Linked DNA regions of Macaca fascicularis. The protein of the gene in region 1 interacts with the protein of each later gene in a biochemical or structural test. Links are inferred from orthologs where the notes say so. Each region holds a gene or a part of one and is shown in the gene's direction. Other genes may lie near its edges.

The links. The genes of interacting proteins can lie anywhere in the genome.
Region 2: of the proteins of RRAD (region 1) and CAMK2G, one has a biochemical effect on the other in vitro, tested with the Homo sapiens proteins (2 studies listed by BioGRID, with this or other methods). The link is inferred for Macaca fascicularis from reciprocal best matches to the Homo sapiens genes RRAD and CAMK2G.

What each region holds. Positions count from the first base shown.
Region 1 is NC_088394.1:62,935,194-62,939,373, reverse strand, and holds the start of RRAD (GTP-binding protein RAD), read left to right. Parts: upstream 1-1,337; 5' UTR 1,338-1,464; intron 1,465-1,678; 5' UTR 1,679-1,693; coding exon 1,694-2,063; intron 2,064-3,060; coding exon 3,061-3,134; intron 3,135-3,259; coding exon 3,260-3,464; intron 3,465-4,180. UniProt on the Homo sapiens protein: May regulate basal voltage-dependent L-type Ca(2+) currents and be required for beta-adrenergic augmentation of Ca(2+) influx in cardiomyocytes, thereby regulating increases in heart rate and contractile force.
Region 2 is NC_088383.1:72,599,636-72,603,200, forward strand, and holds part of CAMK2G (calcium/calmodulin-dependent protein kinase type II subunit gamma), read left to right. Parts: intron 1-1,126; coding exon 1,127-1,199; intron 1,200-1,344; coding exon 1,345-1,447; intron 1,448-2,195; coding exon 2,196-2,279; intron 2,280-2,732; coding exon 2,733-2,827; intron 2,828-3,470; coding exon 3,471-3,565.

The sequences.
Region 1 (4,180 bases):
GAGGGCCCTAATCTTACCAAGCCAGGCCCTCCTCAATCCAAGGCCTTCTTAGGCGTTGCCAAGGAAACAGATGCAGCAGCCAAAGAGCCTGGCCCAGGTCTCCATGACAACCTACCACAGCCCACCAGGGTCCATCCATCTGTTATGTCACCTGAGCCCCAAATGGGTGCCCTCCCAGCCTCACCACACTTGTCACAATCAGATGTCACAGTCTGATAGCAGGTCCCTGTCACAAAATACCTCACAGCCTGACCTGTAACCCTCACACCCCTGAGAGATGAGCAAGGAGCTAAGACACTCCTCATACTTTGACCACACGCTGTGTTTATGGCCCTCTTGGGTGGGGGTCTGAACCTCCAGGCCCTAGATGTGCCCTGGGCAGCTGGCTCAGCCTGCAGCTAGAAAGAAGAAGGGAGACCTTGGCGACTCAAAATGGCTGGCTCCTGCTGGCATTCAACACCCGTTGGCCTGGATTTCCCCAACTCTGGGCAACTTCCAGTCCAGAAGCAGAATAACCAGAGCCAGGGCCAGGGCCAGGGCCAGGGCTGGGACAAATTATTTTTAGCAGAGTTGCTGGCAGCTGCCTGGTGGGTGCTGGGAGGTGGGATGGGGACTGAGTTTAATCCCTTCCCTCTTCTGGGCTGGGGTTTCCTCCCCAGGAGTCAAGCAGGTACCTCCACCTGCAACACTGTCAGAGCCGCCCCCACCCCCAGCAGCCCTCTCAGAGCCCCCAGGGGCTCACGGGGTGACACCAACCCTCACCCTGAAGAGTAGGCTCATTAGGGAGAATCTTCAACTCCAGGATGGGGAGAGAGTGGAAAGGATTTTGTGTGAAATGACACCCCCTAAATTCCAGCTCAGACCTGAACCTCTGGGGAGTGGGTGTCATGGGCAGAGAAGAGGGATCTCTGTCCAGCCTGTAACTCGTTTACTTGCTAAGAGGAAGACCGGCGACTTGGGGAGAGGGAAGGGAGAATTCACTCTCACGGGGCCAGACCGAATTCTTCCCCTGAGGGCAGTTGCTGCTCTTGGCTGGTTGAGTTTACCCTGCTGCCTGCCTCCGCATCACGTACTCCCCCGGCAGCCTCGCGCTCTCTCTCCTCACACACACACTCAGCCCCGGACCTTGCCTACCAGTCAGCCGCTCTATTCCCAGACAGCTACTGCTCCTCCCCTGGCGGGTAGGGCGGGGTGTCGGGTGTGCGAGGTCTGAGGAGGAGGGTGGGGGATTCCCCTGGTGGGGGTGGACAGACACGTCAGCCCCCGCAGCAGCGTGAACCGGGGGCGGGAGCGGGGGCGGGTGGAGGCTTAAATAGGCGACTCTGGAGCCAGAGCCCAGTGCGGGCTGAGAAGGCGGTGGCTGCAGCAGCAGCGGCGGCGGAGACCCAAGAGTCCAAGTCCAGACTACGAGTGGGTTGCATCCTAACCCGGATCCTAGTCCTGAGCGTGTCTGTGTGCGAGTGGGTGAGTGTCTTGGCGGAGCGGGGTCGGGGCGGCTGCAGATAGATGCGCCAGGTCCGGAGGGGTCCCCGGTGAGGGCGCCGCGACCTCGGGGCTGGGGGAGGGCTGCGGCGGGACCTCCGCCCGAGCATCCCGCCTGACTCCAGGTTGGGCAGGTGCGCCCCGGGTCCCGCCTCCCTCACGGCTTACACGGTCACCCGGGTTCCTGCTCCCCTAGACGGCCCCGGACACGATGACCCTGAACGGCGGCGACAGCGGAGCGGGCGGCAGCCGCGGCGGGGGCCGGGAGCGCGAGCGCCGTCGGGGCAGCACGCCCTGGGGCCCAGCGCCGCCGCTGCACCGCCGCAGCATGCCGGTGGACGAGCGCGACCTGCAGGCGGCGCTGGCCCCCGGGTCCCTGGCGGCGGCTGCGGCCGGGACGGGGACTCAGGGTCCCAGGCTGGACTGGCCCGAGGACTCTGAGGACTCACTCAGCTCGGGGGGCAGCGACTCTGACGAGAGCGTTTACAAGGTGCTGCTGCTGGGGGCGCCCGGCGTGGGCAAGAGCGCCCTGGCGCGCATCTTCGGCGGTGTGGAGGATGGTCCCGAAGCAGAGGCAGCAGGTGAGCGGATCGAGCTGTTCGCGAGAGGGGAGATCCCGGGGCTAGGACTGAGGGCTGAGACCAGGACTCAAAGCCGCAAATACCATGGAAGAATTTATTATTATTATTATTATTATTATTATTATTATTATTATTATTTTGAGACGGAGTTTCGCTCTTTCGCCCAGGCTGGAGTGCAGTGGCCCGATCTAGGCTCACTGCAACCTCTGCCTTCGGGTTTCAAGGGATTCTCCTGCCTCAGCCTCCAGAGTAGCTGGGATTACAGGCGCCCACCACCACCCCCGGCTAATTTTTGTGTTTTTAGTAGAGTTGGGGTTTCACCATGTTGGCCAGGCTGGTCTCGAACTTCTGACCTCGTGATCCACCCGCCTTGGCTTCCCAAGGTGCTGGGATTACAGGCGTGAGCCACCGCGCCTGGCCAATACTGTGGAATTCTATTCGTGTTTTCAGAATCACGCTTCTACCTACTCATTTCATAAATGGGGAAAGGAAAGGAGAAGGGACACCCCCTGGCCTTTGGTAGGGAAGAAATGCCCAGAGTAGAAGGCCAGGGCATAGATATGGCTGCTCTGTGGGATGGGACCGGACATCCCTCCCTGCCTATCAGGGACAGGTCAGAGTTTCGAACCAGAGGGATTTCTAAGAGAGGAGCCCTAGGTGGCCAAGGTCCCTAGGGAGCAGGACAGTCACTATTCTAACTCAGGCCACTGGGTCAGAGCCACCTTGGGACCCAGGCAGCAGGAGGACAGGGGGCATTGGAGCAGCCACCTGGGACATTGCTAGCTTGGGGGGCATGTGGGTAGAGGTCAGGCACACCATGCCCTCCAGCCCCCACTTCCCTGCCTGGCACTGCTGTTGCCACATACCAGCATCTGCAAGTGGAGTGGAGGATGAGGAGGGCTCTGGGGAGGAGCTGGAGGGTGTGGCCATAACAGGAAACCTGGCAGCAGGGGCTTTGACAGTCAGCTGGTAACCTGTTTACTGGTCTCCTGCCTAGGGCACACCTATGATCGCTCCATTGTGGTGGACGGAGAAGAGGCATCACTCATGGTCTACGACATTTGGGAGCAGGTAGGGTACAGGCTGAGACCCAGGGCAGGGGAGGGAGGAGTGAGTTGGGGTAGGGGTCTGGGAGTGCCAGGCTTGTGTCAGGGTCATGAGGACTGTTGGGCAGACTGTGTGTGTGTGTTCCCCAGGACGGGGGCCGCTGGTTGCCCGGACACTGCATGGCCATGGGGGATGCCTATGTCATCGTGTACTCAGTGACGGACAAGGGCAGCTTCGAGAAGGCCTCAGAACTGCGGGTCCAGCTGCGTCGTGCACGGCAAACAGATGATGTGCCCATCATCCTTGTGGGCAACAAGAGCGACCTGGTGCGCTCTCGTGAGGTCTCAGTGGATGGTGAGTAGGCGGCAGGTTGCAGGGGGAGGGAGTGCCCAGCTGGGCCCTGATATAGGCAGTCTTGGCTCAGCTTGAGTCCCTGGGGATAATCAGAGGCTAAAAATGTTCAGAAAGAAAACTGGCGGGGAGGGAAATGGGAGAGAGCCGGTGCCTGCTCACAGGGCTCCAGAAGGCCCCAGAGGGGTGGGGAAAGAACCAAATCTGATAGGGGAGCTGGGGGACCGCAGGGCCCTCCTCTCCTGCCCCTCTTGGTCCTGACCTGGCTGGTTTCGGGGTAAGTGGGTGGAAGAGAGTGTAGGGGAACAGGCCAGGAGGTCAGAGTCCTAGGTCTCGGCCATTCTTACAGTAGACTTGGCCCTGGGGAAGACCCGTCCCACTTGGCCTCAGCATCCTTTCCTATGGGTCCTGGTACTGAGCCCCTCAGAGGAACCCAGCAGTGACTTGGTGACCTTGCCCATGCAACCCGAATCCACTGCATCGTTTGTCATGATATAACCTCTAATTAAAAACTACTAAGTTGTGCCAGGCGCAGTGGCTCACGCCTGTAATCCCAGCACTTTGGGAGGCCGAGGCGGGCGGATCATGAGGTCAGGAGATCAAGACCCATCCTGGCTAGCACAGTGAAACCCGGTCTCTACTAAAAATACCAAAAATTAGCCAGGCATGGTGGCGGGCGCCTGTAGTCCCAGCTACTTGGGAGGCTGAGGCAGGAGAAT
Region 2 (3,565 bases), on another chromosome or scaffold:
ATTGCCAAATGTCCCCTGGTGGGGGCGGGGGGGCAAATTCATTCCCAGTTGAAAACCATTGCTCTAGACTGCCCCCACTCCCTGCCAGGAGTTTGATGACAGGGATGGCAGGATGGTTTGCAATGTGGACAGTCTGATTTACGTGTGTGACTGTGGCTGGGCGCAGTGGCTCACACCTGTAATCCCAACACTAAGAGGCCAAGGTGAGTGGATCACTTGAGCTCAGGAGTTTGAGACCAGCCTGGGCAACATGGTGAGACCTTGTCTCTACAAAAAATACAAAAATTAGTAGCTGGGCACAGTGGTTCATGCTTGTGGTCCCAGCCTACTGGGGAGGCTGAAGTGGGAGGATTGCTTGAGCCCAGGAGGTCAAGGCTGCAGTGAGCTGTGTTCACGACATTGCACTCTAACCCAGGCAACAGAGTGAGACCCTGTCTCAAAAATAAAATAATAAATAAAATAATGTAACTTTGGGTTTTTTTCTCTACGCAAAATCATCAGAAGTGCTCCTCAAGCGCCCTGTTTGGAAGGTCTCAAGTAAATTGTTTCTTAAAGGCATCTAGATACTTGTTTTAGCTGCGTTACTGGGTGCCAAACCTCAGGGCAGCTGTAGGGTCTTGTCCATCTTCATATCCTAGGCACTCAGTAAACATTTAGGGGAATGAATGAGTGCACCCACCCTCAAAGTAGCTTAGATTGTTTAGTTGGGCTCTCCTTCCTAAGTTACCAGCACAAACCTTTTCTCCAAGAACAAAGTTACTATATGGAGAAAGAGAAAGAAGGAAGGAGTTGGATGGTCTCATCTTCCTCAGCATTCTGGGCTGTCTCCTGATCTCTTGGAAATGAATTGGTTGTGTTAGACCTTTCCAGTCAAAAGGGGGTGAGGTGAACCCATTCTAGTGGTGATCCTAGAGAAACCATTGAATCTTCCTGGGCCTTGGTTTCCTCTTTCTTTAAATAGGTTGACCAAGATGATGTGCAGAGTCTAAGGTTCCAGTGGCTGTTAAGTGATTCTCTGTGAATCCATGGCCCCTTGTCACATGCCTTAGTCTGCAGCGTGTGGTTGTGGATGTGGATGAGGTGGTTTAACCCTGCACTAACATTTGTTTTCCTTCTGCTTTTTTAGCCACTGTATACATCAGATTCTGGAGAGTGTTAACCACATCCACCAGCATGACATCGTCCACAGGGACCTGAAGGTACTACCCAGGCCCCCCTCCTTGCCTTTGCTTATGAAGTGTTGGCGCCACCTGGTGCCAGATAGTGGTACTGCGTAGGTCCCAACTAGGCTCCCTCTGGGCTGCAGGGTGGGTGCTCACAAGGTTCTCTCTGTTCCTTCTGCAGCCTGAGAACCTGCTGCTGGCGAGTAAATGCAAGGGTGCCGCTGTCAAGCTGGCTGATTTTGGCCTAGCCATCGAAGTACAGGGAGAGCAGCAGGCTTGGTTTGGTAAGGGTAACCCTGTCTTCCCAGAATGCAGCCCCCGCCCTTCCTCCTCTTCCTGATCGGCCTTCCTCTATTAGAACTAGAAGCCAAGGCTGGGCGCGGTGGCTCAAGCCTGTAATCCCAGCACTTTGGGAGGCCGAGATGGGCAGATCACGAGGTCAGGAGATCGAGACCATCCTGGCTAACACGGTGAAACCCGTCTCTACTAAAAAAATATAAAAAACTAGCCGGGCGAGGTGGCGGGCACCTGTAGTCCCAGCTACTCGGGAAGCTGAGGCAGGAGAATGGCGTAAACCCGGGAGGCGGAGCTTGCAGTGAGCTGAGATCTGGCCACTGCACTCCAGCCTGGGCGACAGAGCAAGACTCCGTCTCAAAAAAAAAAAAAAAAAACGAACTAGAAGCCAGACCCTTAATGGTCCTGGCCTCCTCAGAGACTGGCAGAGGGTGGGAGGGTGCAGAGATCTCTCTTGGCCCTACATGACTCATTACAGCAAGTCTAGCTGTTGTCAGCACTGCTTTCTTGCTGCCTCTGGGAAGGAGCTGGAGTTCCTGGTAGGCATACGGCTTTGTCCTCTGGTTCAGACTCCAGGCATTACAAGAAGCCCAGCCTGTCAGCTCTTGCTGCCCATGTGCTGAGTGCTTATGTAGCAAAAGCAGCAGGAATGAGAAGGGACTTGGGGGAAATGATTGGTGTGGATTTAACGAGAGAGAAAGTGGGTTCAGTATGCCTCTGCCCTCTCTTCTGCTACAGGTTTTGCTGGAACCCCAGGTTACTTGTCCCCTGAGGTCTTGAGGAAAGATCCCTATGGAAAACCTGTGGATATCTGGGCCTGCGGTAAGCCCATTCCACGCTCTCAGCTTTTCGCTGTTAAGGGCCCTTAACTTCCGATGATGGCAAGAAAGAGGCATCGCTATTCCTTGCGGGTCACACATACATGCCTGGTGTATGTGAAGTTACAGTGTTTGCTCTAGTGCCCCTGGGATGGCCGTTCCCATCACACTCTCCTCCCTGAGTGCTTCTGGGATGACATTGTATCCTTCTTGGAGAGGGATTTGCCCACGCCCTACAGGATGGGTTGTGCCTAAAGAAATCCCTGGTGTGACTTGGTGACGTGAAGTGTGAGGCATAGCAGGAGGGGCTGGTAGCATAGCATTATTGGCTGGCATCCACTTCTGTCTCTGGTATGGCCCCTGCCTTTCTAGGTGGCTCTGAGCCCTGCATGGCTTTTCTTGGTTCCTCAGGGAAGTAGGCGACTGACCCCCATGACCTGTGTGTTCTGTCTCGTAGGGGTCATCCTGTATATCCTCCTGGTGGGCTATCCTCCCTTCTGGGATGAGGATCAGCACAAGCTGTATCAGCAGATCAAGGCTGGAGCCTATGATGTAAGGACCAGAGAGCCGGGCAGCCAGGCCAGGAAGGGCAGATGTCCTGCTCCTCGGGCTTTGTCCAAGGGAGCAGGCTTGTTTAGTGTGTCATGTGATACAGGGGGTGTCAGGGGACTTTGAGGACCCAGGGATGGGCATCCAGGGCCCAATTCTTGCCACCCTATGTCCCAGGGAGCAACTTTCTTTTGCACAGCCTTCTTTGTAACTAAAGCTGAGGAGCCCACTGAAGTCCTTTGATCTTTACTTGCAAAGAATGGAGCAGCCTCATTGGTGTGCTATGTAACACAGGGACAAAAGGCCTGGAGACTCCCTTCACTGCAGTGGCACCTTGGACACATCGCTGAGCCTCCATTCCCTCCTAAGTAGAGAGCTGGGCTTAAACCAGAGAATGTTGGAGTCCCCTTCCTGCTCTGATCTGATATTCTGGTGTTCTAACCATGAGTGTTCTGTCTGTCTTTCCCAGTCTTTAAGTTGACACGGGTTCTGGGATAGCCCCAGGGCTTCTCCAACTCTGCTGGTCACAGCTTTAGGTACCACAGAGTATCCCAATTACAGGAGTTGAGTTGAAGACAGAGCCAATGTTTCAGGGTGTGAAGCTCACCAATATCATATTCCTCTTCTCCCTGTTCCTGCTCTTTAGTTCCCATCACCAGAATGGGACACGGTAACTCCTGAAGCCAAGAACTTGATCAACCAGATGCTGACCATAAACCCAGCAAAGCGCATCACGGCTGA